Drosophila melanogaster: one gene and its partners. The protein of the gene in region 4 interacts with the protein of the main gene of each other region in a pairwise test. Each region holds a gene or a part of one and is shown on either strand. Other genes may lie near its edges. The genes, in order: bves, CG6126, Tsp33B and CG34170.

Region 1 (8,120 bases), on a different chromosome or scaffold from region 4:
CAGCTGCTAGTGAATGCCCCAGTTCTTGGAGTGTAGCCACTCCTTGAATTATTACTCCTTGAGTAGACTAGGGAAAGGATATCAGATGACGGACTACTTATTACAAACAGAAATGTACATAATGCAATTCAAAAGAATTATATTTTTACAGTTTGTTATTTATTCTCTCAATAAGTATTTTGTTATTGACTACTGATATTGATATTTATAAAACACATTACAGACCTCAAGAGGAATTTAATACAATACTGATTAGTAACAAAGGCGCTGAGTACTCATCGGAGTTAAAGTAATTGTTTATAAACATTTAATATGATTATGAATCTCGGCTGACTAATAGTACATACAGATGTGGACATACATACAGTATGTAGATATGAACTTTAGCGACTTCTTCTCGTAACTTCAGATCACGACGCACCCAAAATTCCGTATAAATTCTCAGAAACCCGTAATATTGTATATCATGCGAAAATCTACAAAAAATCTAGGTAATCGGGTATAAATCATAGCAAAATCCACTGAAATTCACGGAAGCAAAGACTATCTGCAATGTTATTTTTTTATTTTATTTTTTTTTTTTTTCGGCCGACAGAGATCCGCACAACCTGTTTCCGACTCGACCAGGCCAACAAAACTTGGCCAAAAGCACTCCAGAGAGTATATACACATATAGAACAAAGCAAACAACGGGTGCGAGTTTTGTTTGCTGACCCCAAAAAAGAACGCCAGCCGAACAAAAAAAAAAAAACACTAAAAACACTGGGAAAGTGGCCAAAAGTGGGCGAGGGCATGGTCTATACGGTCCGTGGTCCCCATATAGTTTATGGTATTGGGGTTGGTCTGGTGAGTGCGACTGGAAAACGAAACATTTCCGGCCTGGACATGAATAATAAAACAAAGCCAACGAGCAGGAAAGATAGTGTGAAAAGAAAAGGGAGAAATTGTGGATACAAGAGCGACAAAGAAGGGCATCGAAATAATCAATTTGATGTCGCAAAGTTCGTGGTCGCCCATGCACTGGAAGAAAAAGAAAAGCCCAGAAGATAACATTTCCAAACTTTTCGACAATGCCAACTAAAATAATGTGAGCATTGACCCGATCTTGATGGCGTCTTGATGATGTCTTGACCTGATCACGATGGCGATACGATATTCAAATTCTAATTTACCATAACATATCTACGATACAGGATTTTCTCTCAGTGTGATTATTGACAGTGGTCAACCAACCGATGACAGGCAGTCAGTCTGACGTCCACGATGATGATCATAATGCGCTAGTGATGTGGACTGTTACTCAACACTTTGCATATTGACTGCACTGCCACAATGTCTTTGGCGTGCGCCTAATAACGATAATGATGATAGCGGCGCAAGTGACACACATCAGTCACAAAAACAAACAAGGCCAACACTTCCTCGTCATTATCATCAACTCTTCGGGGGTGTGCAGCAGCAACACAAAAAAAGCAATGTAAATCAGTTGAGTGTTAACGAAATGCAAATACCCTAAAAACGGAATGAACATTTACCACCCAGAATAGAGAAAAGAGTGCTTGTTCTTGGCCTCGGTCAAAGAAATTTTTAAAAAACGTTGGCCTATCTATTCTATTCCGAATATCTACAGCGTAGCAAATGAAGAGTTGTCCGGTCTTGAATATCGACGAGCGCCACCTAGCGGAGGATATACGTATTACTCATATTTCCTGACGTCGTTCTAAAAATCTTCATTTATTTAAAACTTATTTTTTTAACAAATTCTTTTGTTCTTTTTGGTGATTAGCTAGCTAGTTGAAGTATAGGTAGATGTTTGGAATACATATATTAGATAGAATTGGTAGAATTTGGCCAGAAAATTAGGAAAAAGCATTAATAGGGGGGGCGTTCAAAATTTAAATTTCAATATTGCACTGCACTGTCACTTGAATCTGTAATCTAAGTCCAAATATTCCAGATCATAAAGTTCACGTTCATACGGACAATCAATAAATTGCTTATGGATAATACAAGCACAATATAATTCAATTTTTTATATTTTATGGACTTTAGGTCCGTGTTGAAATAACAATTTTTTAAGATATGTGCATACATATTTATGTATATAAAGTAATGTTTATAATATATGGTGATTTTGGTTTGGTTTATTGGTTTAATGCTTTCTCCCGAGCGCGCCCAAACTCAAAAACTCCAAATACTTTCCATAAAGGGTATATCCACACCAACGCACGCACACACATTGTGTGGCAACAACAAAAATGTGGGCAGAGAAGATGAAGTCATCGCTTTGTTGCCTTGAAAAAAAAAAACACACACACATACAACACGAAAAACAAAACAAAAAAATACAAAACAACAAATGCAAATACAACTAAGCGCGACTTCGCTTAAATTTAAGTCCATAGCCAAAAGTAAAATGGGTACAATGCGAACGAAGCAAGATTCAAAAACTAGAAAAACACAAACAAATATGTAGTACAAGTGAAAGAAAACATGAAACTACATTTAAAAATAATAAATAGCTATAGGTGCAACTATGAAATGACCTGCATAAAAGTTACACTTACTATGTTAACTAAGAGCTCAAAACTAACCTAAAACATTGAGGAATTGAATAAAGACAATGACTTAAATTAGGTTTAAATAATGCAGTTAATTTTCAAAGTTTTTACGTTTTTTAATTTCGAAGAACGATAAAAAAGACAACTTAAAAGGAAAGACTTTTCTTGCGAAAATCCCAATAGTTTGCGACTGATAACTGCGAGCAGAAAGGAAAAGTCGCCGGGTGAAAATCATGTGAAATAGGGTGGGTTGAATGACATGCCAGTGGCCAATGACGATATCGGAAAAGTGTGGGTTTAATGGCCGATATGAAGTCCCTCTTGACTCCCCCAACCCCATTTTTTCACGACGAAGTCATCGATTGCCTTTGTCCAGCAATTGATGTTTGCTCAGTGGCAATCATCGTGAAATCGTCGTGGGGGGCATCATCTAATGAGAAATGGCATTTGGCTATTACATGTAAGCGATTTTTTGTTTGAATTTCCCTGCAAATGATTATAATTATGGAGAAAGTCGCGGGTTTTATAGATGAGTATTATCAAGCGAAATGGAAATTACCCTTTTTCAGCAAGGAGAAAACTATCATAGGAGGAAATACAATATATATTTACTAAACGCAAAAATTCCCCTTGGACTTCCGATTGGACTTATGTACATATGCATGTACTTCGAACTAAGCACTCTGAATGTTTAAAAACATAAATGCATTAAAATTGACTTTAAAAATAAAGGGCATTCAGATATCGATAAGGAGCTATAAGGAGCTAAGGCGCCCGCACAATTCCATATCTCGCCCGATTCTAATTGGTGTTTGGCCCGCAGACAAATTGTGGTCGTAATCCAATTGGAAGCGGAACTTGTATGGCAACAATTGGAAATGAAACCGGCGATAGAAGGGAAAATACGAAACGAAAAACAATAAGAGAGAGAGAGAGAGTGAGAGAGAGAGGGCGAAAAAGGGAAGATCAGACATTAAAGTCATAAGCTTCGTAAAGGCTTAATTACGTGGAATTAATTGTGTAAAACACAACGCTTGCAGCATTTCTTAAGATTCCTCGACTGTTCCTTTGTTATTTGTAAATTTTAACTACTTTGGTGGGGCAAGTGGAGACTGGTGAGCCGAAAGTGAAACGGCGGCAACTTTTTGCTGTCCTCCGTTTTTTTTTTGCCCCTCACCACCAATTTCCGTTTCCCACGTGTAAACAAAAATAATAATAACAATAACCAGACAACAGGCAACATTGTCTCGCCCTATATGCCATATTAAATTTTACATCGTTTTTATGGCCCGAAACGGGCCAGCCACGGCAAAAATTGTGTAAATTATTTTGAGGCGAAAGCAGAAATCGAAGAAAAAATAAACAAAAACACTTAATCACTCAATGGCCATTTAAATGGGTTAGGAAATGGTCGACATCAGTATACTATACATGCAATATTGATGGATTACCTTACTCTAATGGTCCACTAACATTTTCAGCTAGCTCTTAGTGATAGGAAATTTTCAATTGTGAATATCAGTTATGGAGTACGAATTTCATCCAGAGCCGAGCACTGATAAGAAAACATTTCTATAGTTCAGTGTTTTTGTACATAAGGTCATTTATCTTATCGGAATGCTGCCTTAGGTGCGATATCAAATGGCTTTCAGTTATCCAACTGTTTGGATTTAGATAGGTTTTTAACTTTACGGTTTGTTTAGACTTAGAGAAGAATTTGCAAAGCAAAGCAATATGTTATTTATACATATATGTAGTTCTCAGATTTTTCTACCAAAGAATATTATTCTCAGTTCATAGCAAAAATACGCACCAGTTATTTTTGAAATGCATAATTATTTTTTGAATAATTCGTTCGTTATTTTTGGGCTCTCATTTGAATTATGAGACTTTTGAATTGCATAGCAATGTCTTTATTTATCGCCTCAGATCTTTGAAGTGGAATTCGGGAATTGGAAACTCATTTCAGAGCTATTCTCCCCACTGATAAAGTATTTTTGGACCCAATATATTTTTAAATAGAAATTTTAAAAACGAATTTCATCCCCATTTTCCCCTTCTTCATGTAGTTTAGATCTTTGGAAAGATCGTTAAGTTGGAAGTTACGAAAGCAATTCATCCCAATTGGGTCTCAAAATCGGAAATGAGAATGTCACTTCATTGATTTTTTCCTAATAGAACACGAGTCTAACTTCTTTTGTTGCAAAATATTCGATTTTTGGGAGCTTGGATAATAATAAATAGTAGTTCCCCGATCTTCTCTCTCTCCCTCTCGTTCTCTCGCCTATAGGCACACAACTTCCATAAATATACGCACACACAAACACACACACATAGAAGTTGCATGCCAGAAATGCCATGCAAATGCAAACACCCACATACACACATTGAGAGAGTGGGTGGGGTGTGAGTGAGTGGTGGGCCGAAGGAGGAGAGAACGAAGAAGCAGATGCAGAAGTTGGAGTTTGTTGCTTTTGTTTTCCTTTTCTTCCTTTCCCCTACCCCCCTTCCACGCCCTCCCATCATACATTCGATTTCCTTCTTCTTCTTCTTGAATGCGTGCTGGCAACTGCAATCGCTGCCTCTGCCGGCGTCGCTGCCCCCACCCGCACGCACACAGTGACGTCCCGATATATACACATACATAACACATGCATTTTTAAAAGCGTGTTGATGTTCGATTTTTCACCATTCTTGCTGCACTTTACACACAAACAAACACTCGCCATCGTTATTATTTAATTACTTTTGGCGCGGCTTCAATTAAAAAAAAAACAGCAACAACAACGCTGCAAGTAAATACACACACACACAATACATATGCAAATATCTATGTATATATTGCACATAACAAAGCTGCCACTAAAAAAAATCAACGATTTGAACTAGCAAATCTCATACACGCAAATAGGAATGGGCTTGCCCATGTATTAGTGAGAACAATTTCTTAAATATTTGACACGTGAGTTTTTCATTGTTTTAGGTACAAATTTTTCTTCTATTTACCAGCAGAAGTCAACTTGTATTTACTCCGATTCGCGTTTTTTCGGGGATTTGGTTCTCGTTTCGATTGAAAATACATATATTTCGGATATGTGATAACTATCAGTAGTTTTTCAGTGGAAACCGTGATTTTCCTGCCCGGCGATTCATCCGATGTTTTCTTGTCATATTTTGTTCGAGATTTTTTTAAAAGGCAATGAAAACACGAAGCAGCGGTGCTTTTATATGGGAAATATATGGCAATTTAAACGGCTGTAGCTCGCTCTCTCTCGCCCTCTCTCTCACTCGCTCTCCCGCAATGAAAACGAATTTCGTGGTGCACAGTGGTCGCAATTGCATACTAGCTGACAACTTTTTAAGATTGTTTACATTTCCTTGATTTATCTGAAAATTGTTACATTTTTCTTTTTTATTTGTGCTTACGGTTGCTTTGGCGTAGTTGACATCTTTGGTCTAAACGTATTTAGACAACTTTTGGTAACTTTCTAAAAAATAATAATCGTACCCCACTGTGTGGTGGTTGAAATGTGTTTTTCGCTCTCTGCTCACTACTCGTGCTCGCTCCCACGGAGAGTCGAAAACAGCTGGGATATAAGCCCAGGAACAGCCGGTTATGAATTGCCGATTCGAATACCAGCCGTGCTTTTGATGACTCACTAATAGTAACTAATCATAAATCGAGAATTAACTGCCGAATAAACCGCAAATAGCAGCCAAAAGAAGTGGTTAAAAGGGAAACAATAAAACCCGCCAGCGGTCAGAGTTGTCACCCCTATTACCGATAGACCGGCGATAGCACGCGATAATCGATAGCACTCTCCGCTCTTTGCCACGAATTGCAAGTTTGCGATCCCGTCGCATTCAAGTTTCAGCCATTGTTTTGTGCAAAAAGCTAAGTAATAGTGCTTCGGTGGGGCAAAACAAGTAATCCTGGACATCCGGAATTCAGTCAACAACTCGCACCGGTGACTTAGGGACTCTTGCATCGAATTAAGCAGCGCCGAAAAAAAGCCGGCAGGCGGAAGAGCAAGGAAAATGACGCTGGACGTGGGCGGCGTCGCCAGGGGACTGCTCACCTGGGACAAACAGGAGCACCTGGTCAAGCTGGCCATTCTCATCCTGGCAGCGGTTTTATGTGAGTAAACAGCGCTTATTCGGCATTAGCCGAGTGGGCGTTGTGAAAAGGTCAAACATTCGCATCTGCTGCGAGCTTCTTCGCTATCGATAGCTTGATGTGCCGCCGGCACTTTATGGTGAAATTACCCAGAGCATATAATGGCTTAGTTACGCAATGCAGCACTATTATTCCTTATTTCCTAGCTTATAAATTCCTTGATTTGCATTTGAACAAATGCATAGCTATAAACATCTTCCGATTGCCATGTTGTAGAATATCAACTTGCCAGCCCTGCTAGAATATCGATAGCTTGATACACGCTGGCATGTGCCATCACTAGCTGCTGGTCTTCCTCTTGCCATCGCCGATTAAACTTCCTTTTCCTCTTGCATTTCTGGACAGCATTTGCCACACGCTTGTTCTCTGTGCTGCGATTCGAAAGCGTAATCCATGAGTTCGATCCGTACTTCAACTACCGCACCACGCGGTTTCTGGCGGAGCAGGGCTTTTACAAGTTCCACAACTGGTTCGATGACCGCGCCTGGTATCCCCTGGGCCGCATCATCGGCGGCACCATCTATCCCGGGCTGATGCTCACCTCGGCGGCCCTGTACCGCCTGATGTGGCTGCTCAATGTGACCATCGACATACGGAACGTGTGCGTCTTCCTGGCGCCCTTCTTCTCCTCGCTGACCACGCTGGTGACCTACGCCCTCACAAAGGAGATACACGTAAGCCACCGTCCCACCGTTCTTTACTTTTTTTTTTATATCCTTTCGAGGTTAAAATTCGCACGTGGTTCTTATGATCCCCCTTTACCCCTTTTTAGAGCACTGGAGCTGGACTGGTGGCCGCCGCTTTGATATCCATCGTTCCCGGGTATATCTCTCGATCCGTGGCGGGATCGTACGACAATGAAGGCATCGCCATTTTCTGCATGCTCTTCACCTACTATTTGTGGATCAAGGCGGTAAAGACGGGCACGATCTTTTGGTCGGCTATGTCGGCATTGGCCTACTTCTATATGGTCTCCTCGTGGGGTGGCTATGTCTTCCTGATTAACCTAATCCCGCTGCACGTGCTGGCGCTGATGATCACCGGACGTTTCTCGCACAGGATCTACATAGCATACAGCACGCTATACTGCGTCGGCACCATTCTGTCGATGCAGATCTCGTTTGTGGGATTCCAACCCATCCAGAGCTCCGAACACATGCTGGTGAGTGTAACTACTTTGTGTAATGCTGTGCAGTGTAGCGATGTGTGATCTGTTGTGATGAATACATTTTAAATTCTTGATAGGAAGAGTATGAAACATAATGAGTACCAAAAACCTAGCTGAATTGGTCACTAAAAGAACTCTAATTAAAGAATTACTCGCTATATCGAAAAGAAGGGAGTGTAAATCGTATTTTTCTCTTGCAGGCACTGGGAACCTT
Region 2 (10,433 bases), on a different chromosome or scaffold from region 4:
AATGTTTTGGAGGTGAAGGTTAACTAGCTGACAGTTCTATTTATGGAGAATGTCACTGACTTGTTGAATCCAATTACTGTAAAGTCCGTGCTCGTTGGGCTATAATTAAAGGCCGTATAACATAAATATAGCATTAATGGCTATCACAAAAATAAATCCTTGAACAGCGGCCACTTCCCACATACATTTGCCATTAAAAACAAGCTTTTAAATGAACTTTACGAGGAATTCATTTATTTGACCCCAATAATTAGTTGTTTAACAACATAAAAAGGGTTTATGCTTCGTAAATAATAAATGGATGGTTAACAGAAGTATATTTCTTGGCTGCTATTCGCCATATTCGATAAAAACGTTTTATTGTAAACATTATTTAAAGTAGCTTTCATTTCCTTTTCAGCCAGCCATGTCCGACGCGGCCAAGTCCAACAACAATGCGTCCGCCGATGCACCTGATCCGACCACTCCTGACGCCACTGGCGAAGCTGACGCGGCCAATGCAGCCACTCCGACAACTCCGCGTGGCAATCACAACAACAACAACAGCGCCAACGGCAGAAGCAAGAACAAACTGAAGTCGACACAGAACAGCAGTGGAGGCGGCAGCATAGACAAGCTGTCGCCGGACCAGGACATTTTCATCAACGCCGCCGACGGCCTGCCCAATCAGCATCCGTCGCTCCCAAAGGAGGGAGACGTGGATAGCGACACAGAGCCGGAGGTGGATGCAGACTCGTTCGACGACCTACCCACCTCAATCATCGTGACCAACATCCACTCCGAGGTGTTTGCCAATCCAGAGCTGAAGCACGCCATGGAGGAGTTATTCCGCACATTCAGCGAATCGGCTACGTTCCAGTGGCTGCGCAGCTTCCGTCGCCTGCGTGTTAACTATGACAATGCCATTGCGGCGGCAAATGCGCGAATCAAGCTGCACCAGTACGAGTTTAACAAGAAGACGGTTATCACCTGCTACTTTGCCCAGCCGGTGACACCGGTCAGCAACAAGAACCTGCAGCCACCGGCGCCGGTCAAACAGTTCCTCATCTCCCCGCCCGCTTCGCCGCCAGCCGGCTGGGAGCCGCGCGAGGAAGGCGAGCCACTGGTCAACCATGATCTTTTGGCCGCGTTGGCTAGCCTCACACCCGGCGAGTCGCACGAGCTGCATCCTCAGAGCGAGGACCAGCCGGCCATTATTGTGCACACGGCCATGCTGGCGGAGACCGGGCCGGGACTGCAGGTGAAGGCGCCAATTGTCCAGACCAAGTGCCCGGAACGGGCATAATCATAAGGTGGTGACGAAACTAAAGCTGAAAACCTGAGTTGTAAAACCAAACGATCGGGACAACGGGTTGGGACTCATGCTCTGCGGATGGTTGGGGCTTCGATTGAGTATTTTTTGTAAATATTTTCCGATTCAATTGTGATTAATTTACACATACATATATTTAGCTACGTTCGTATGTTTGTATTAATAGGCACTCGAACTCCCATACCCGACATACTTTCCCACCCTTCCTTCAAGCGTAGCATTTACCCCAGTTGGCTTCTGATACAAGTTCATTGGCTAACAACCGCATCTAGATGTGTTTATCTCGCGATTTGAGTGTGTCTATGTGTAAGAATATTGATGTTAAGCCATCGCAAATACCTGCTAACAATATCTACATATATCTCTGTGTACCTTCGACGGGAAATCGCTGACAGAGGCGCTACCGAGAACCGCGATCCGAAATCCCAGATATAAAGCTACTATATCTATGTAAATGTTAATGTAATTCTAAGCCAGCGAAATCGTGTAACGATATCGCATCAGATATCGGCATACACATACATACGTTTATAAATCTATATGCCTACGTGTAGTTAAAATTTAAATTGAAAATATATTCAAATTCGAAATGAATGTTCTCAAATGTACCAAACAAAACAAAATGAAGAATTACCAAACAAGAAACAAAAACCGAAAAACCAAAACTCTCTCTTTAAACAAACTTTAATTGGCGGGTTAAACATCATGTGGAGCAAAGGGAAGCGATGGGTTATGGATTTGACATTGGAAATCCCTGTCGGCAATTGGCAATTCGATAGTGCAATTGAGTGGAAATTACTGAAACTTTGCAAGGCCAGACGAACCCGAATTGGCTGTGTCGGTCGGAGAATAAACTTTAATTGGAAATAGTTGGGAAATAATTTTTTGGTGTGTACTGGTTTTACCGTAGAGAAAATTGAAATTCAAGCTATGAATCTGCGCCTAAATTGATAGAGCCTAAAAGTAGACAACACTAATCAGTAAAAATGCTCGTCAAGCATTTAAATTTCCTTTAAACTAAATTTTACCACCGAAAAAATTAAAAGAAAAAATCCGTACAAACAACAAAGGGACACTCAGAAATGAGTGAATCCACAAATTAGGATTCCCCATATTCTGCACATCGTTTTATTCGCTTGGAATGAATAGAAACTATTAAATCTTACTACTAGGCAGAAGAGTAGAATTCTTAACAAGAAAACACAGGGTAACAAGGAATTTAAGCTGGATTTTGGACTTGGGAAACAATCGTCTTTGGCTAGGTTCTACTTGCTCTCGATGTTCTTGAGCGGCACCATTTGCTCCGGATCGTCGGGATATACGCTATTCTGGCGCTTTTTGCGACCAGCACACTGACTGAACCAAGTATCTCCCTTTCCGAAGTTCTCTCCATCCTCAATGGACTCGGGCATGGGCTGGTTCATTGTCTCCGGCAGGAACATAACCCAGAAGCCCGAGATCAGGGCCACCACGCCGAACAGCACGGCCGGTATCTTCGGATCAAATGAGTCCAGCAATGTAATGAGCGGAGTAAGGGCTCCCGACAAACGGGCACACATCGATCCCAATCCCATGGCCGAGTTCCGCACCACGGTGGGAAACAGTTCGGCTGAGTAATTGTAGATTACGGCAAAGGAACCGGCGATGAGGAGCTTTCCTGCCATTACCACCGCCGTGGAGGTGGTGCTGCCCTGGGCAATGTAGGCGGCCACAATGCAGCATAGACCGCCACCCAACATCAGGGTGGAGGTGATCGATCGACGACCCAGGCGATCTAGGACGAACACAATGGTTATGTAGCTGGGGAACTCCACGAGGCCCATGATGAACAGGATCAGGTAGGGATTTCCATACAGCTTGCCGGCACTGAGCGATAGTCCGTAATAAACCAGAGAATTGGCGAACCAGCAGAGGCACACGTTCAAAGTCTTCATCCTCAAGTTGGGCGTGCGGAAGAGGTCGCTCAATCCGGCGCTGGATTTTTCTTCGGCCGCCGCCTGCTGTTTGGCTTTCTGCACATAGTACTCCTTGTCCACCGGGATGCCCGATCCGTTGATTCTCAGGCCCTTGGCCACAATATCCACCGCCTCGGCGGCACGTCCCTGCATCCACAGCCAGCGCGGAGATTCATCGAGCCACCACCAGTGGCCCAGGAACAGACAGCCATGCAGTCCGTAGATCACTTGGAGCCACTGGCGGTCAGGGATGAGTGCTCCCCATCCGGCCACCAACATGATGCCACCAGCGAAAACAGCCTAAAAGTATTGCATGGTATAGCCAGTTTAAAAAATGCAAAATCTATTGAAGTCTTCCTCACCTGGAAGGTAATGCCGCACACAGTACGCTTGGTAGGTCCCACCAGTTCCATGGTCAGCACGAACCCACAGATGTAGGCACCCGCTGATCCCACAATGCCCAGCAGGTAGCGAGCCACCATGAATGAGAAGTACTCGGGAATGAAGGCCACACCCACACCGATGATCAATTGGAACAGGGCCGACCAGCAGAACACGGTTTTCCGACCCACTTTGTCGGCGAGTCCGCCAAGGGTGACTGCGCCTGTGAACACGCCCAGCATGAACACGGTCTGCACAATGGCTCCCATCCAGCGGCGATCGCACACAAAGTTCCAGTCGATGGTGCGCGAAGTCTTGTAGTACGTCGTGTCGTATACGTAACGTTCGCAATTGATGGTGGTATTGGTGCCAGGACTACTGGGATCGAACATGAGGCAGGACTCTAGCTCGCCATTGGGCTTCAGCGGAATGGCGGCCAGGATAGCGCTCGAGTTCCATGGTGTCACCGACAAGCTGCTGTTATCCACGCCCTCGATGAAGCAGCGATGCTCAGGCACGGCGGCCACCGTGACCAGCGATAGCATGTGCATGCCAGCGGTCAGGCCGGAGAGCACCTGCAGGAAGAACTGCAGGAACTGGTACTTTCCAAACTCCCCTGCAATTGGATAGAAAAAAATAGAAAGACATTTCACAATCATTAATGTCTTGGGAAAGGTTATGAGCGCACAACAAATGTGAGCTTTCAGCAACATGATAGATAGTGATAATCTGTAGCACCCATGAATCACCCAGTTTACGATTAAATATAATAAAAAGAAAGTAAGTTGAGCTGAAAACGGAAGTTGTTCTAGCTCAAATTATTTAAAACGGTTTTTTATTTCAGTATTTGAATTTGAACATCACGTAGCTGCGATAAAAACACAACCCAAAGAAACAGCCGACTTTTATGTAGATGGGAACTTTTAATGGGTATCGCTGGAATTGTCGTCACTCCAAAGGCTTTGCAATTAAATCAAGTGGAATTTATTCAATTCGATTTCAATTGAAGCGCATTCGCCTAGCCCGTCAAATATTTGCCCACAGTTTGGTTTGGTTTGGTTTTGGTTTCGAACGCCATGAAAAGAGACTCGGATGTCTTGGGAGAATGCACTGAATCGATTATGACTTGGCTGGTCAGTCAGTCCATGGCGATCGCGTTGATGGGAGGCCAGGGGCTGTGTAAATTTCTAACGACATGGACAGTATGTAGCCTAGATACGAGAATTTGACACTTGATCACGGTCCAATGTTCAATCAGCCGTTTCAATTGATTTGTGGGTTACGTTTATTGATCGTTTAAACGAAACTCTTGCCATCAAATGAAAAGTTACGTTCACCCCGGTTACGTTGCAATCGACAAATCATGAGTAAAACGTCTGAGAATTTTCATTTTTCATTATTAAAACGATTGCGTGAAGTGTAAAATTATGTCATCGGGTTGACTTAATTAATCTCAATTATAAAATTTGACTCTACGCCTAATGAAATTCAATTACGCCCCCAATAGACATAATCAGCGTATAATTGAGCACAATCTAGGAAATCGATTGGCCAAATTTGTGATAACTAAACTCGTAATAGTAAATACTAATGTGGAACTCATAGCGGATTATCAGAGGCCACCAAATGCTAGATCATATATCAGTGATATTGTTGCTTCAGATTTATTGCATCCGTCCAATATAACTAGCCGTATAATTGTTGCCAAGTGGCCCTTGAATACGACATTTGTTTTTGGCCCTGTCAATGTTTGTTGTTCTCTTAATCGTAAGCCATCTATTATGATGTACAAAACCAACAGTTTGCACATTAAAATGAATATGGCGCAGGTTTGGACCGTTGTTTATTCTGGGCAAACTTTTTGAGCGATAAGTGAGATGGATAAGAACACGGAATATTAAAAAATAATGCAGTCATATTTCTAACAATATTGCACATGTATATTAATCTACTGTTATTCTACTATCAACTGTTGCTTTATTTCAGAGTTGATTTCTTCAAAGCTTTTAAAATTTCCTTTGTGCTTAAGTATCATGATTCGAATAATTGAGGTAGATCATGGTTTTACACCTCCACTTTAAGGCTTCCTTCGGTTTTTGTTCATCCGTACTTCAACATTTTCACTTCCCGCGTTTACTAACAACTGAAGGTCGATTTAGTTCTGTTCTGTGCTCTCCACATAGCACGTGTGGAAGTGCTCTCAAAGTCATTTTAAGTTGCTGGTTTTATGGTAACCTTCTTACGTACAAATAACAACCAACTCAGCAATGCAACACGCCTCCAAATTCGAAGTAATTAGAGTTGCTGCTCGCCAATAGGCCTTCAACAAAGTAAACAGAAATAAAAGAGCGATATGTGAATTTTGATGGCTGAGGGAGGTATTGCCATATAGTTGAATGTGAGCAAACCAGTTTAAGGTTTTTTGCATTTCACAGATACAAATGTATGCGAATATATTACGAATAAAAAAGTCGCTAATGCGATTATTACTCCCTCTCTCCTGTCACTTTCTTATAGGCTGCGGTTTTGCGAATGCTTAATACAAAACCAGTTTCGGATTGTAAAAAACTGTTCTATTTTAATTAACGACAATTTCAGCACAATCGTTGACACAAATTTTATATTCCAACTCATATTTTATGTGACTCATAAATTTCTAATTTGTAGCCGTGACAAATAAAACTGTTTATCCATCGATCTTCCACTGTATTCCCACAATTAATCTTAACTATTTTGCATACTGCATATAAACACGCTTAATTTTGTAGCTTCCACAAGCTAGCTGCAATGTTTGAACCGCACAATTAGAGTATATAATAAATTATAAGCAAATACCCAGATATCCGTAGATCCCAAGATCTTTATGACGAGCCTACTTCACAGTCTTGTGACAGATACCGCCCCTTTTGCACCCGTTTTATTTTTGTTTGCCTGTTAGCCGCCACACTCGTTTTAGCGTCACTGTGCTAAAGCCAAGTAGGCTCAACAAGTGTCAGACAGCCTCCAGCTCAGAACTTGGCCCACACGAACATGTGTCGACTATATGTGTACATAAATACATACTTGGTATGGTATATAGTCAAAAGGGGAGCAACAGGTCGGAGTCTCTATCAAGCTGTCATAAATGTCTGTCACTTGGTGGCCTCGACGATTTATTAAATTAAGAATAGTGCAAAATGAAAATGAAAATAGTTGCAATTAAAAAAGTATTATAGTCGGCTTCTTTTGAGCACTTGACGTGACGGACAGCCAGCCGGATAGATTAGGCGGAGATTAAAAGCATAATACGGAAAAATTAATTATAGATTTTAAAAGCAGAACAGAAGGTTGGGCGGTAAACCTCATTGGTCGTCGTGAAACAAAATATTATCCATAGTAGCTTGCAACGCTGATAAGACCTCTCAAAATGATAAGCATAACGCCAGGCTCTTATCAGCACGGGATGGAGACGCCTGGCAACGTAACAGCTGACCTTTCAAAAGTCTTCGCTCCCAAAAGCCCATTCCACTCACCAAGTTTCCCCATCAGGTCCTCCAGTACATAATCCACAGCCATGTTTGATTTTTTATTGATAATCAAAAATAAATGAAAGTAACTGTTTGCTATTGCTTCTTAACAAATCGTCATCTTCTGCAGAAGTGGAGCATGTATGAATGGCACACCAGTGCAGCACTGCTGATAGTTACGGGTCGCGAAGATGCAAAACGAATCCGGGATAAACAACGTGCTCGAGTGAAACAAAATCGCAAACGGAGCGCTCGATCAGCTATCAACTCTTCCGACCGCCGGCAGCATTTGAACTGGCAAAAACTAACTGCGAACTGTGTCGCTCAGCGAGAAAACTGAGTGGTAAATGGCGATAAGGTCGCTCCAAGCTCGCGAGCGAAGAGAGCTTGTGGAGGTCTCCAAAGTTGGGAACTAAAGAGCAAACTCTGCTCGAGGGTAAGAGCTTCAAAAACTGTAATCACCATTATAATCCTTGATGTATGAAAATAAATGATGCCTCTTGGCAAGGATCCCTTAGATTAGAATACGATCAGAAAACTCATACCTTAGCAAGCTTTGATTTGCCTAACACTCAGTGACAAACAAAACATAAGTCACAAAAACACATACAAAAAATACATAAAATTCATTTAAAGTTAATTTTAAAATTATGTGTGAGCCAAACTTATCAGATCCGTCGACATTCCTGTACTTGGATATGCTGGCGGATATTTTAATGCAGGACAGCCTTGAAATGGAATCAGATTTCAATACCAAGTTAAAATTTCTTAAGGAACAGGAACAAATTTGCCTAGACAATGCCAAAAATGTGAGACTCAATGGCCATAGGCAAACAGGATATAAATTTTTCATACTCCAACAGGCACTTCCCATCGATGATACCCTGAGATCAGTAAAGTGCACCATGCTTAGGGTAGAAATGGAGCTGCATGAAAACGAGATTAACCTTATACAGGCGGAGAAAGCAGTTACGAAATTGGAGCAGAGCTATCCGAGTCCTGAGAGTCTGGCAGGCCAAGTGTTTCCTTTGGCAAGTACCACATATCAGGATTTGCTGAGTATGCTGATGTCTTCGAAAAAAACAGTCGATCATTGCAATCAGATCAAAGAGGAGGTCGCGACGTATAATGAGCAGATATCCGCAAAAGTACCTTCCGTAAATTTGGTATGAAATGATGACTAAAAGTTGTATTTAGAGTTTCTAAAGTGAGTGTATCAACAGGTAACCAAGCTTATCGATTACCACAATAATACACTGGAGTCTATGGAAAAAAATATCGAAAAATTGAAGAGCCAGGTCACACAAGTTCAAAAGGAGTTCGAGCAGCTTTATAACGAACATGCACGCCAATTCAACGCACCGTTCCCATGCAAAAAGGTCAAGGAGTTAAAACCAAAAGACACATGTGGAGTACGACTACGCATGTAATCTGATAACACAATATATCCAACGAATATTATAAATGCTTACAATGCTGCAAGTTCAACTTTTCGCTTAAGATTAGGTTTGGTGATCTGGGCTTAAATTTTAGTTGTTGGCATCACGGAAAAACAACACATCGTCGGCTATGATACTGGTGCTAGTCTTCTGGTTGCCCTGCTGGTCGGTGATCTCTCCATAGGTGATCTTTCCCTGCACCATGGTTCGCTGTCCCTTCTTCAAGTATTCCAGCACGGTGTCACGCAGATTGGGCTTGAACACCACTACACGATGCCAGTCGGTGCGTTGGGCCCAGTCGCCGTTCTCATATCTGTGGGGAAATATTTAAGACTTCATGAATGCTTTTTAAATGAAATGGTAGCTATTTTCTTTATGAAATCCGGCATTTCATGGATCCTAAGAAGAAATTGATCACTGAAGTTAATTGAACAAGGAAATGTACACTATTGCCGTTATCATTAGGTAATTACATACAGCAAATGTTCTAATAACTCATTACATAAATCTGAATTAGCAGCTCAACGTGATATTTTCTTGGAGGTTAAGGCTAAGAACTAACTTAATTGTCAACATTTATGTAGCTTTTTTATTTCCCTCCTCTGAGATGTGATTTCAAGTTCAGTTGCAGACGCATGCTGGGCGGCAAAACGCACACAAATGCACTTACTTGTAGTTGGTGTGTGTAGCAACCGAAAAGGTGACCACCGGATGCTCCTGGGATCCACGCAGCTGCGGATCGGCGCCAACTCGTCCCAAAATGGTCACCGTGTTGACAGCTGTGGTTATTTATTCAAAATTAATTCAATTTCATAACTAAACCTAAGAAATACTCACTTTTTTCAACTTTGGCGGGAGCCGCTGCCGTTGTTGTTGTTGCCCCGCGTGCCGGCAAATTTCGCAGGCCGGTCAACAGAGGATTCAGCTAAAAAAAATAACATGTTTGTTCATTGTATTTTGCAATTTACCGGCTTTTTAATAATATTACTTACCATGCGCCTTGTGTGTTGCATCTTGATTGTATTAATAAAATATCGATGTATCGATGATATTTACGATATGTAAACTTTTATCGCGATAGTTTTTAATACGAAATATCGCATATCAACATTATTTCTTATTTTATATATTGACTTGAAATGCTACTCGCAAGTATATAAAAAAAATGTTTTTTTATTATTATTTATTAATTTTGGTGTATAAATCCGCTTTTGGAGATTGAATTCGCCACACGGAGTGAATTCGCCGCATATTGTCCCTTGCGGAATACAAAAGAAACTATCTAGTTCAATCATAGGCCAAAAGAGGACGTTAGCGGTCAGCTGTGTATAGTTCAAAATAACAGCCAAAGGTGGCGATGATACTACATTGTATAGTTGCTTATTTCAACCAAAAGGTGGACGCACACTAAGCACAACTGATAGTAGGCAATTTCCATTAGTTCACCATCTCAATAAGCAAATGCTGAGGGCGCCACTGTGACCTCTTTGATTAAATACTTAATAAATTAAGTACTTATTTCATTTAAAATAAGCTAAGGGTTAAGAAAAAGAAGAAATATCAATGATTTCATATCAATGTAAGTTGAATAAGCTGGACATGTAGTGTTTTCGGTACAATTATAATGTTTAGAAAAATAAACTTTATTTAAATTTGTATGCACGCAAATTGTTTACATTTTTCATAATATAAGAAATTTTACTTTAGTTCCCCAACCCCTTAATTTGTTTTTTATTCAAGAATATACTATCAAAAAAATAGTATACAGTGTGCATCTAAACATTCACTCAATAACGCAAATATAATGCACAAAGATTTCAACTTTACAACCTCGAACAGG
Region 3 (6,954 bases), 5.5 Mb from region 4:
TTGCCGTAACCAGCAGAAGCGCACCATCTTGTATTTTTATTGTGTTTTGACTAAGTTATGATTATATCCATATGGAGCGACATTCATAGAAAGCATCCTCATCATACATAAACATATGCAGATATGCATAGGCATACAATTATAATATATACTTATAGTTTGTAAATAACACGCAACAAGACCCTTGGAAATCTATCGAAAATTATTATCACAACTGTATTATTTTTGCATTTTCCAAGGAGGAACATTAATAACGAGCTAACGCGCGAAAACTTTCACATATATTGGCCAAGTGTAGTCCTTAACCCAGTTTACAATATATCGAGCCCTGAAAGTGGGGCTGTGATGATTATGAGATATATATACAATTATATGACAGTGGAAACAGAAGCAGCATAACGGCAGACCCAACTAACGAGATAATGAAAAGGGATTAAACAAACAAGTTATTATATTTAATGTTAGTTGAACTACTAAAAGTAATGATTGAAAGCACGGATCGAAGGAATGGAGATAGGAGTTCCCGCGTGGGAGTGCGAGTAGTTTTTAGTTGGGCGCGTCGCCCAATCATTATGATTACAATTACAATTACGATTATGATATATGGAATACTAAACCTATAACAACAAGTTATTACCCCACTATTAAAGTTAACAAGCAACAACAACAACAACCCATACATATACATATATACGACTAGGCACAACTCTAAAATTAATTATAACCCTTAACTGTGCTTGTGTTGAAAACAACAAACATTAAGAACAAGTTTAAGCCGTAACGAAATAAAAGAAAGTGAAACAATTAACGAGAAATCCCCAAGCGCCACAAGCAACAACATATCTGCTTTAAATTTTACAAAAAAGGAAGAGAAATCTAAAAAAAAGTATATTAAACACGAGTCAAAGTTTAATAATTTAGTAAGAAAACAATACACAGACAAACTGACAGACACACGACCCACACATTATGCTTCCTTTTAAATGCAACATTTTATACATTTAATTATCGAGAATTAAATGCTTAAAATACAATTTTAATTTAATTTAACAAACTGTAACTGTACACGAATAAACGGAAAATGTAAAACTGTTTGTTTAACCATTTAAAGACAGAACTTGGTTTTATTTAACCTAATTTTATTGATTCACGATCATCGCAGCAAAGTGCACATTTTGAATACACTTAGAATGCAGGGAACAATTGAAAATTGAAAATGAAATTATCATTGATATGCATGTATTTTGCTTTCACACTGAAAATAATTGTTTTCGAAGTCGCAAACACACACTATCACACGTCTATAATTATGTAGTTGAGTATCCGTGTTAGTTTTTGGGTGTTTTTGGATTTTTGGTGATGTGTATAGAGCGCAGTATATAGAATGCATATAGAGATATATATTATTGTACGATTATTGACTAATATATAACGGATATGTATGTGTAGTACGTGAAAGGCAAGTTTATGGAGACAATTCACTTGTGTTGCAATATTAATGAACAAACGAAATAATTTACTTGTAAGTTGCGTAGTGCAAGCCGTGAGAATAGAGGTAACTTTCTCCACAACCCACACTCACTGATCGACAGACACATACCCATTAACCTTAATGATTAAACGCTGGGACAGCGGCAAAAATGTTTCCTAGGAGAAAAATTAACAGAAGCTGAAGAAAACGCTTGGAATGCCCCAATTAACGTAAACATTAAAAGCAACAAACAGTAACAATACTAAATAGAAACAATAATGTACTATAAATCAGATACAATACAACACTATATATACCTAAAATATATATGCCTATACGACAGAAATTGGACAACAAATGAAATATATATATATATAGTATATATTGTACAAGTTACGAGTAAAATGTAATTAAAATTTATGAAGTAGTAAGCACTAAACAAAACAAATAAATGAGCAGCAAAAACGCGCAGCATAAGCATAAAACCGGATTTTACAAGAAACTGAGTAACCCTGAGTAGAATTATATTTTTTGGTTAAGGATATTATTATGATTTCGTATCTCTGGGATACCCCGAAAACTATCGCTTCGTTTTCCCATCTCCAAAAGGATAAGTCGTTTAGGTAGCGCGAATTCCGCCCGATCTGCCTGGAAACCCACCCCTAAATGACCTTCGCACTAGGTAGCATCGGACTACTGACCGTGGCAACTGCGTGAATTCATTAGTATTCCAAGTACCACGATCGAGAACAGACCGCAGATGACGTCCGCAAGCGATACAGGTAAGGAATTGGCTAAAAACGAAAAAAAAAAAAACAATACAACTGAGCCTATTAAGACGATCGTCCTTCAACTTTTTAGAACCCACTGCAGTAACGCTGCTCCAGCTGAATGACGATGTCCTGGCTTTGATCATCCGCCAGCTGGACACGTACCAGCAGTTCCAGATTAGCAGGTTGAACAGGCGCTTGGCGGGCGTAGTGCACATGCTCTGGGAGACCCGTGTTCGCAACGTTGTCCTGCAGGACGAGATGTTCGGACGCTCGGGAGCCAATTCCCGACAGTTTGTGGCTTTCATCTTGGCCCTGGCTCCGCACATGCAGCACCTGAGTTGCAAGCAGTTGGATGTCCGAAGACTGCGACTGCTCAGTAACCACACGCTGGAGAGGATTCACTCTTTCGAGTGGCTGGGCAATGTGTATAGACGGAGACGCGTTCGCTTCGTGGATGAGGATGTGCGAATGCTGCAGAGGGTATTTCCCAATCTAAAAAGCCTCAAACTTAGAGGCTGCCAAATTACCGGAAAATACCTATGCGACCTGGATGAGCTTACCGATCTCCGCCTGCATGATTGCCATTTTCTGGAATCGCAACACTTTAGGGACATCTTCCGGCAGCTGCGACTACGCAAATTTGACATAATGGAGGACTGTGACGAGGTGAACTGCTGTGATCTGGCGGATCTGCAGCTGTGTCCCACACTGGAGCATATCAAGATTGCGGATTACCACGTGTGTATGGAGTCGGATATTACGCAGCAACTACTGACATTGCCAAACCTGCGAAAGCTGTCGATCTATTCCAGGAACTTTGTCTTTGATGTCCTATCGAGGATAGTTAGTCCCACAAGTCCTCCCGGCGATGGCCGACAAATTGAGGCCTTTAGTTTCAGTGGAGTTTTGCACGACTATGGCCGGTTCTTCAGGGAGCTGGGAAATCTTAGTCACTTGACGCGACTGGAGCTGCACAGCCAGCCAGAGGAAGAGGAGGAGAAGGAGGAGGGCGTCCAGGTGCAGTGCCTGGGGGATCAGATACTGCGGCAGCTAGCCAGTCAACTGGGTGAGCTAACCGAACTCCATTTGTGTGGCTATCAGTTGGAGAGTCCTTTGGGCCTGCTGGAATTCGTGATCAATTGTCGACAGCTGAGAGTCCTCGACATCACTCGAACCTTCTGCCATGGAGAATCCTTCGTCTGGAGGTGTATTGCCATTTTGGCCAAGCAAAGCTGGCGCATTCGCCCTCTAGAGCTGTGGATCCGGCATAGCGATATCAATCCGGAAATAGTTCAAAGTTCGCGCTGCGTTGATAACATAAGGCTGATAAAGGTGGATGCAAAACAGATTGGACCCAATACGGACTACACATCTGGCGTACTCAAGTTTAGCTTTGTGCGGTAAACCGCTGCCCCATGAGTGGGATATGCTCCAACTGATCAAGCTCCAAAATGAAAAGGTTTTAAACTGAAATATAGTTAAGTGTATACATTTATCAACTGCTTACCAAATAAAAAGATGTAAATATACATATTTGTAAAGCGATTTTTCAATGCATCATTGTTTTTACTGCCCTTAGGGATAAAAAAAATTAAATTCAAGTTGTAGTACACTTTAAAATTCAAACACCCAAGTCCTTGCAATCAGCGTCAATCCAAATGAAATTCGAGTTCAGAGCTAAAACCTCGTCGACAAGCCAAACTTTGGATCGATGCCCACGAGGATGACCAAATGCGCCAGCCCTTCCGCCGAGCCTCCGTCTACCTCCACCTGCTGTTAATAACCGAGGCCGTGATCGGACTGCTGATCCTGGTGGTGACCGCCTACTACCACACCGTGCTCACCGGCTATCTATCGGATATTGAGTGCCGCCTGGTCTACGGCTATCTGTTTGGGATCTACGTGTTTGGCGCCCAGGTGGTGGTGACCTTTCTCTGCAGCATTGCCATGTGGCGGCGAATTTGGCGGCGTCGCTGCACGCCGAACATTCGCCTCTTGCTATCCGTGTGGGCCTTCTACTCCTGCGTAATCATTGCCTCCGGTTTCGGGTGCGTTTGGAATCTTTACCGGGGTGTCGATGTCCTCGAGAATGCGGCGGACACCTCGCTGACCCGCGGCATCGACATGTACTACTCGTGTCCCGAGTGGAAACTCCTGTGGGACGGACTGCAGTGGCACAAGGAGTGCTGCGGGGTGCATGGCTACAAGGACTGGATGAACGCGGAGTGGATGCCACGGCGGGAGAATAACTGCACGTCGATGGTCCTGGCACCCTTCGCCTGCTGCAAGCGCTCCTGCGACAGCTGCTTTAACAATTTCCTGCCCAGTGAGGGGCAGTCCATCGGTGGCAATAGCCGGCAGCCTTTTCCCGCTCTCACCGTGGACTCAATCAATGCGAACGGATGCTTGCCTGCGTTCGTTAGTGCGGTGTGGAACTGCTTTTACATCCTGATGGCGTTATGGGTCCTGGCCCTTAAGTTTCTGGTAAGTAATTGGTAATGGGCAACGTTTTAAAGTCAGAACAATGGTGAATATTGGAGCCATATTCATTAAATTCTGTCAAATTCATTAGCGTAAGTCATATTGAAATCAAAAAATTTGAATATGCAACAAAATTGTATTTTAAGATAAGACCTCCCTAAGTCAATCATCTTTTTAGATCGTGCTTTGTTGTATGACCAAGTTCATAGTTCACCGGCAGAACGAGGGCGATGGCTGCGATAATGTGGGACTCACGGACGATGATGGACATCCCTTGGTCGTGGTGGTGGGTTTATCCATTTACTATCCATCGATAGCACCTAAATCAGTCCATTCCCCAGAAATATCCGTGTAACGTGCGCTGTGTAACAATTGCCGAGGATGATCTGGTATCCGACAACGTTCCCGATATTAACTACTGCAATTGCACCGAAATGGACGACGAACCGTGTGGATACTAATATTGTGCTTAATTTTACTTTTATATTTTATATTAATTTAATTAAATTTACGAATTTGAGTTAACTTCATATCCAATCGGTGAACGCAATATATTATTTATTGGATATTATAGGATACTTATTACATGGATGTTGTAACATTGGATGTTAAATGGATTAACGGCGCATCCTCTTGGATTTCTTCAAAGTCTGACCCACCAGTTGAGCAATATGTTTGCGCAATGCCAAGAAAGGCTTCAAGCAGACGCGCTGCTCGACGAGACCCACAGCAATGCGGTGAAAGAACTCGGTGACATCCACGGGCTTGGCCAGCAGCTGACCTTGTGATACCGAGCCGTTTTCCTCTGAGGCCTCGGGCGTAGGGCTACGTGCCATTCTACGGATGAATGGTTCCAAGTTGCCCCTGCTACGTTGGGAAACGCGAGCTCCAATGGACTCTGATAGCGCATTATTGGCGCGAGAGAAGGTGAGACGCTCCTGAGATCCCGAGTCGTTTTGATCCGGAGTCTCTGGCTTCTGTATCACCAGTTCGGGTGAGGTGGGGTTTTTCTTTGGAATTTTCGGAAACTCGGTAATTTCGGTAATCTCCAAAGCACTGTGGGGACGTCTTCTGTAGAGAATCCGAACCCGTTATTCCACGTTCTACATTACGAAACTATAACTTACGGTGTACCCGCCTCATAAGTGACATATGGGGACCAGTCTGCCCCATCCAAATCCATACTAAAAGGTTCACAAAATGAAGAAAAATGATTTTGTTTTATAACATTAAATTTACTCACTCATCTTCGTTGGAACAGTCATCATCTTGATCACTTTCCCTGATTATAAGGCAACTTAAAAATAATCTATCAAAACATTATATTAAAAAGACTTACACAGAAGACTCGCAGGTAATCTCGTCACTTTCGGGAGCACTAGAAAGGAAATACATATATTGTCAGTGTTTTTCTGAAGCTAAATTAATGAAGTCTTACGTAGCTTCTTGATATTCATCATCATCGCCCACAATATGAGGAACCTTTGATTGGGACCTGCAATGAATAATCCATCAATATATTTAATGAACTGCTTTAATTTTAATTACATTTTTAACAAATTTTCAACGCCTAGCTCCTGGAAAATGACAATGTGAAAAGCCGTGCGGCCAGTGTGTCCACTCCAAGGAATGTTTAATAAGAACATCAGTGTTGATCAAAATACTGTTGAAAACTTACTGGAGCATATGTAATTAATATATAAAATTCAGTTAAAGCTCAAGTCACGTGTTCTTAACATTTAGTAAAAATAGAAATTTATACTAAAGGTTTTGGTAAATTTGAGCCTTAAAATTTTGGTTAAGTTTAGCCTTAAAATGGCAGTTAAACATAAAAAGTTTAAATTCCTATAAAAAGACGTACCAGTGTTGTACAACAGGCTTAATTTACAAACTTCCAAATACAAATGTAATTATACATATTTATGTAAAGTCAAGCCATCACAATTTAATTCCACCTTTGGAAATGTTTTTATATATTGGGTGTTCGTTTTTATTGAACTTGACATGCTTATGACTAAATAGTTAAGGAAACTGGAATTGGAATAAATACAGCTCGACCAAAAACACAAGCCACAATTATGCAATAAATTCAATCCTTTAATGTGACATATAGTTAACTTATTCGAGTACTCTTTCTTAGACATATGTGGGCTATAAACATTGTAAAATCTCTACTGCATTCGATTGGGAAACATAAACCACAAGACATGGGCGGAAATAGCCTATTCC
Region 4 (5,839 bases):
TGGGAATGGGAATGGGCATGGAACCTGGGGAAACGGAAATGTTAACTAGTTTGAGCAGAAGCGAAGCTGCTTGACAATGGCATTAGAATGTCGAAAAGTTTTAGCCCGGCAACCGCTTACTCACTCAATTAGCACGGTCAGTTCTCCAGCTTTTTATGCAAATCTCTGTGGGTGGCAAAATTCGTAATGGGGGCGTGGCAATGAGAGCCATTAGATGGTACATCAACTGTACATTAACTTGTCTGTTTTTGTTTCATTAGCAAGGACAGCAAAAGGCGAACACTTGGAAAAAATAGGCCCTGTGAATCAAATTCTTCCATTTATTTTATTTAATTTATAGTTGCTTAAATTTTATTGAGACTAAATCGTAACTAAGCTAAGTAAATGCTTGCCTATAAATATTTAAATTGTAAATGTATCTACATTAAGCTTTATATATAAAAGATAAATCCGAATTTCAATAAAAAATTAAAAAGTATTTTTTAACTTTACTTACGAGCTATTTCAAATTTAATTATAAAATCATGTACATTTTGAGACCTATCTCTTTCCTAGTGTAGGTGACTTTGGAGGACTGGCCCATATCCTGCGGCTTCTTAAGTCCCACGTCCTGGCAGCTTGACAGCGGCAGCATCAACTGAAGTTGCAACAGCAGGAGGCGACCACAAGCCTTTAACAATGGCCGGCTAGGACCAAAGGCGAAACCGAGGCAGAAATAATAGGGGACAAGGCGGAATTGCGAGAATGTTATTTGGCTTTTGCATATGGAACGAATGATGATGGCACTTTCAGTGGATTGCCTGAATATCGAGTGCGTATGAAAGATGAAACGCACGAGGCAAAAAGGAGCAATAAAATAACAAGAAATATGGCCAATCGATGAATAGTGGTAGGTGCACTAAAAGTGCAAGGTAAACAACCAAAGAAAAGGATACACGAACGAAGAGAGTGAAAAGGTAGATCAACTTGCAATATCCATAGGAAAAATTTAATTCTTTAAAAGAGTTTTTAATTAAAAGTCACCGCTTATTAAAGAAGTGTGCCTAAATATTTTTCATCACGATTTACTGTTTCATATTTACTGTTTCAAATATACCTAAACGTAATTTGTTAATCACTTAACAAACGAGTGGTATTTTAACCCAAACGCTTCGGTGCAATATGACATTTCTGGCGGGCATCACTTAATCCCCACTGAACATCCCCTGAATTTCCGCCCACCACCCACTTTTTGGCTTTGTGCTTTGCAAATATTTGTTTATGCATCGCTACCTTGACTTCGCTTTTCCCACTCCGCTACATATGTATGCATTTTCCTCCGTACAGTTGTGCATGAAATGTTTAAATACGTTGAGTCCCTAAATCAGGTCACAAATATAAAACATTAGATTACGAATGGGATTTTACAACTGGAAGTTAAATCCCTAAAATAATTCAAATTATAAATAAATTGATGGTTAAAGCGCATCTTCTTATTACATACTAATTGAACTATAATTATATAGTATAATTGTTATAATTTTATAACAAATACTTTAATTTTAGGCCGTGCTGTACTTGTTTGTCATAATCAAATACACTTCCACGTTGGCAAAGGGAGGACCATAAAAGTTAAGTAAATATATAAACACGATTCGGTTTACGCCTGCCTGCCCGTCAGCCTCTTTATTATTGTTGGTTGTTGAATGTTGTTGCTGGTGATGTTATTGATATACGTGAACATATATATATATATATATATATATCAATATATCAATACATATCTGTGCCGCACACACGTAAATCAAAATGTTTGTAAGTTGAGTAAACAACATTGGAAATCAGTTATGTTGTACTGCATTATAAACTACCCAATAAATGACCCCCGTGACTTTTAACGCCAGTGCACTTTGTCTGTAGATTCGAAAAACGTGAATTTCCATTTTCTTTTTTATGCGCTGAACTTTTTTTGTAATTTTTACGATAAATTGCGCGTGAATGATGCATAAATCAAACGAAGTTGAGGCATTTTATATACGAGAGTGTATATGAGCTCTGTCAAATGTATCGACCGAGTAAAAATTTACATAGCATCCGTTTTGGGTCCATCAAGCAGTGATAAATATGTAGGTGCATGGTAATAAGAGCCGGCAGAAAAATATGCACATGCATTTTTAACAACGATTTAAGGATGAATTTCATGAAAATCGAGCTTGATGAATAAAAATATCAATTTGGATTGACGGAATTACGGGATTTCATTTGAGAGACAACTCAAAGAGCTTTGTATGTGAAGGAGAGCTCATAAAGAATATATAACACGCTAATGAATGCATTACACAACTTTTTTTTTGGATCCAACTTTAATCTTTAATGGAATAAAAGGGTTTTTTTTAACAAAATCAAAAGATTTATGTGTACTTTTTTTTAAATTACTTTTTATTTATGACACATTTATGTAGAATTGTCCACATTTAGGGGGATTATGACGTCGGATCTATTCGCTCCCGATTTATATGAAAGTAGGCGAGAAAAATTATGAAGACGGCCAATCCGACGAGTCCGCACCAGAAGCCAAAGGATCCGCAATTGAATCCATCCCGGTATACCTCGCAAATGTCCCCGCCAACAATCAGATTCAGCTTATCCTTAACGCCAGGTGATCCAGCCATGGAATATTTTTCCGGCTCCCCAAATTTAAGCCACAAATTTTGAAGTTTTTCTAAAGGCCGAGAGTAATGTGTGGGCCACAGGCTCCTGGGATTAGGATTCGTGTACGCCGTGCCTCATCGGAAAAGTACGCTAACAATGATGAATCATCATGGAGGGCAACAGGATATGCCTGCAACGTAATTGAATTTAGTGCTAATGATGGCATTGACGATAGCACATAATATTCGGCATTAATTCAAGCAGACATTAATTGATTGATTATTTGATTGCATTATTGTCAATATCACAATTGCAATTTGGTCGCTCCGCTTCAACGGGTCGTCCTGTGTATCTGTATCCTGGGTGTCCGTCGAGCGCGACACATTCGCGAAATTGAATGTTTGTCATCAGGCCAACAACATTGATAATAATAATTTAGCACAATTTACACGATGACAGCCATAATTAATCGATGCAATCGTGCCTTCAAATAGCAGTTGAAACGGGGCTTATTATGGGCACTGGAAATAAAAACGAACTGGTGTATATACTTAAATTGTTTGCATAAAAAACAACAAAAATTTACATTTAACGTAATATTTCGGGAAATTATAAAAGAGCTTCTCAAAATAATTATTTTAGTTACCATTGTATTCGCAGGACACCGCAAATTGTTTGTAATAAAGATTTCACCTGAAGTCCATTCATTTTCATGTTAATTCACTGGCCTTCCTGTAGCAGGTGAATATTTGACTTAAGAGCCGGATAAAACTTGCGTTTTGCTAAAGAAAAGACGAGGGAAATATTTAATTTACATTTAACTTTCTGCCGCCCCTTTCCACTCAGCAATTATGTGGCCCGAGGAGATTCTAAGCGAAATTTTGTGCGCCCTGCAATTATACAAAAATTCTTCTTGGTCTCGTTTCTTTCTCGTATTGCATTATTCATGGGCAGGGGCTAAGCAAATTAAAAGCCAGCTTCCCAGCCCAGCTGGCCAAATAATTGTTTGAAGTTCGCTCTTGGCCTGGCCTGTAATCTGCCGCAGTTTTGGCCACTAATTTCGCCCTGAGACAAAACCGCCTACCGAAAAGAGTACTCCGCAAGCACTAAGCTCAATTGAAATTGCTTCTGGGATAGGGAGGCAAGAAGGAAGACTGCTCGAAATGCCGTAGAGTAATTGAAATATTGGCAGCGAGCTCAACTCGTAAATTATGCACTCGAATCCAAGCATAAAAAAAAAAAAAAAACGAGGGAATACTCACAACAGTTCGCTGTGTAAACTAAAGATAGGGAAAGAGCCAACTTTCCTGAGATTCCCTTTAATTTATAATTTATCAGTTTTGTGCTTTTGAAGCTGTTTTTGGCTGCCCAACAAGAAAACTTTGATTGCGGTAATTAGCAAATTGTGCAACTCTCTCAAGGTCCACTCCCCCTTTTACCTCTTCTACCTGGAAGGCAACAAAATGGTGGTACAAAGTTTGAGTGAAAATGTATATGTTAAACTGCATTACAACATTTAATTAAATATTTAACTAAAAGGGGCAAGTTGTTGGAAATTTTGTATGCGTAAAAGTGTGCTACGAATTACAACAATTACATTTACAAAACCTTTGTAATTGACTTTTTATCAATGCTTTACATATCCCATATATTATAAGCAAACTAGCTTCTTAAACTACCTTTTTATTTTCAGTTGTGTAGTGGGAGTTCAACTAAAGTTGTGTGAAAAGGGTAAGCCGGGTAAACCAATTTGCTCAGGGTCCCTAACATATCTGCCAGAATATATGTATATCGCACAATGAAATTGCCTATGTGGCAATATAGTTTCCTGCCATATATGTATGTAGCTACTGCAGCAGGGAACATCAATTTTGTTTCCCTCCGCCCGGCTTTTATTATTGTTACTTCGAGGCTGCCACAATCCGATGCCCAACCCCTGCTGCGTTTTTGCCAGGTAAAAACCTAAGCTAAGCAAACATACAAAAAAGTGTTAGTATGCTCAACGCGACTTTCGCCACCACATAACCACATACCCCACCCAGTCCCATCGTTCTGGCCATCACAAAATGTCCTTTTAGCAAAGGACATATACACACATGCGTATGTAAAAATTTTCGACGTGATGTAAATTTCTATTGAATGCTGAATGGGCAGAAAAAATAGCTTTAATGGTCTTTTGGCCAGCCAAAGCGAATAGGAGATCCGGCATATAGGATCCCGGACAAAAGACCAGGAACCGAGGGCCATCAGAATGGTCGACATTTGAATGAATTGTCGTTGAAATCGGTTGACCAGGTGATACCGTGCGGTTGGGCACCCAATACTGTTCTACATATGCCAACTGTTTGACTGCCTGATTATTTGCTGAATAATAACCAGGAATCAAACTGAAAGCTTGCAGTTTGAGATGAGGTGAGAAATACAAGGATGGGATTTGGCAAGCCAATAAAGATACGTTTACTGATTGCCTAATATAATTTCAAAGTCTAAATCGCTTTGTCGGGGGAGTGAATTTATAAGTTTATACCCTTGAAAGCAAATACAAATTTAATTTACTATAAACGTTATTTCATCGATTTAAATTTTACATTTGAGGTACAACAATCCCATTTAAATAATAACCCATATTATTCTGTTTATCTCAGCCTTTTAATTGATACTATACACATAACAAACACTTCAAAAATGGTTTTCGTTTCTGAAACACTGCCATAATACCATTCAAAATAAGTGCATTAGGCATTCAACCAAGTTAAATGGTGAACAAAAACACATGTCGGCAAATCTATCAATGCCAAAACAGACCAATCAATTTATCCGATTTTCCCGCCGACACTTTCCCCATTTCCATCACTCAAAAAGCACTTTAAACCATTTACGTTTCGTCATAATTGCAAATTCCGTTATCAGATCATCACGAATAAACACAGACACTGGCACACAGGAAACATGACCTTTATCAAATCAAACTTAATTCCCATGAAATACGCATCAGCTGCGTGCAACATCGTTGACCTTGCGCCCCATGCAAATCAGCATAAAACTGAAAGCCAGTGAAAATTCCACACAATAACAGGACAAATAAATCGAGAGATAGAGCAAAAAATAAAACACAGCGTGACATGTCATTATTGGGACTTTGACAGGCAAATTCCAAAATTCAAATATTCCAAATCGATGCGATTGGGAGGGCGAACATTGTGGGATC

What was found.
Region 1: the proteins of CG34170 (region 4) and bves interact in a two-hybrid assay, tested with the Drosophila melanogaster proteins (one large-scale study listed by BioGRID).
Region 2: the proteins of CG34170 (region 4) and CG6126 interact in a two-hybrid assay, tested with the Drosophila melanogaster proteins (one large-scale study listed by BioGRID).
Region 3: the proteins of CG34170 (region 4) and Tsp33B interact in a two-hybrid assay, tested with the Drosophila melanogaster proteins (one large-scale study listed by BioGRID).

The regions. Positions count from the first base shown.
Region 1 is NC_004354.4:21,052,190-21,060,309, reverse strand, and holds the start of bves (bves), read right to left. Parts: upstream 6,348-8,120; 5' UTR 5,988-6,347; intron 5,765-5,987; exon of another isoform or gene 5,568-5,764; intron 1-5,567. Other genes in the region: Stt3A (catalytic subunit 3A of the oligosaccharyltransferase complex), read left to right, coding at 6,600-6,699, 7,084-7,412, 7,511-7,900, 8,107-8,120.
Region 2 is NT_033777.3:16,195,631-16,206,063, forward strand, and holds CG6126 (uncharacterized protein), read right to left. Parts: upstream 7,454-10,433; 5' UTR 7,204-7,453; coding exon 7,161-7,203; intron 4,265-7,160; coding exon 3,630-4,264; intron 3,568-3,629; coding exon 2,578-3,567; 3' UTR 2,370-2,577; downstream 1-2,369. Other genes in the region: sra (sarah), read left to right, coding at 407-1,285; CG31287 (uncharacterized protein), read left to right, coding at 7,805-7,963, 8,018-8,320, 8,378-8,584; mtSSB (mitochondrial single stranded DNA-binding protein), read right to left, coding at 8,684-8,906, 9,264-9,372, 9,431-9,518, 9,586-9,606.
Region 3 is NT_033779.5:11,789,325-11,796,278, reverse strand, and holds Tsp33B (tetraspanin 33B), read left to right. Parts: upstream 1-3,913; 5' UTR 3,914-3,975; coding exon 3,976-4,728; intron 4,729-4,903; coding exon 4,904-5,011; intron 5,012-5,066; coding exon 5,067-5,186; 3' UTR 5,187-5,254; downstream 5,255-6,954. Other genes in the region: CG14937 (uncharacterized protein), read left to right, coding at 2,232-2,253, 2,333-3,648; CG14932 (uncharacterized protein), read right to left, coding at 5,343-5,796, 5,853-5,909, 5,969-6,007, 6,065-6,103, 6,164-6,220, 6,274-6,275; CG14931 (uncharacterized protein), read right to left, coding at 6,948-6,954.
Region 4 is NT_033779.5:17,309,109-17,314,947, forward strand, and holds CG34170 (uncharacterized protein), read right to left. Parts: upstream 2,713-5,839; 5' UTR 2,652-2,712; coding exon 2,463-2,651; 3' UTR 2,360-2,462; downstream 1-2,359.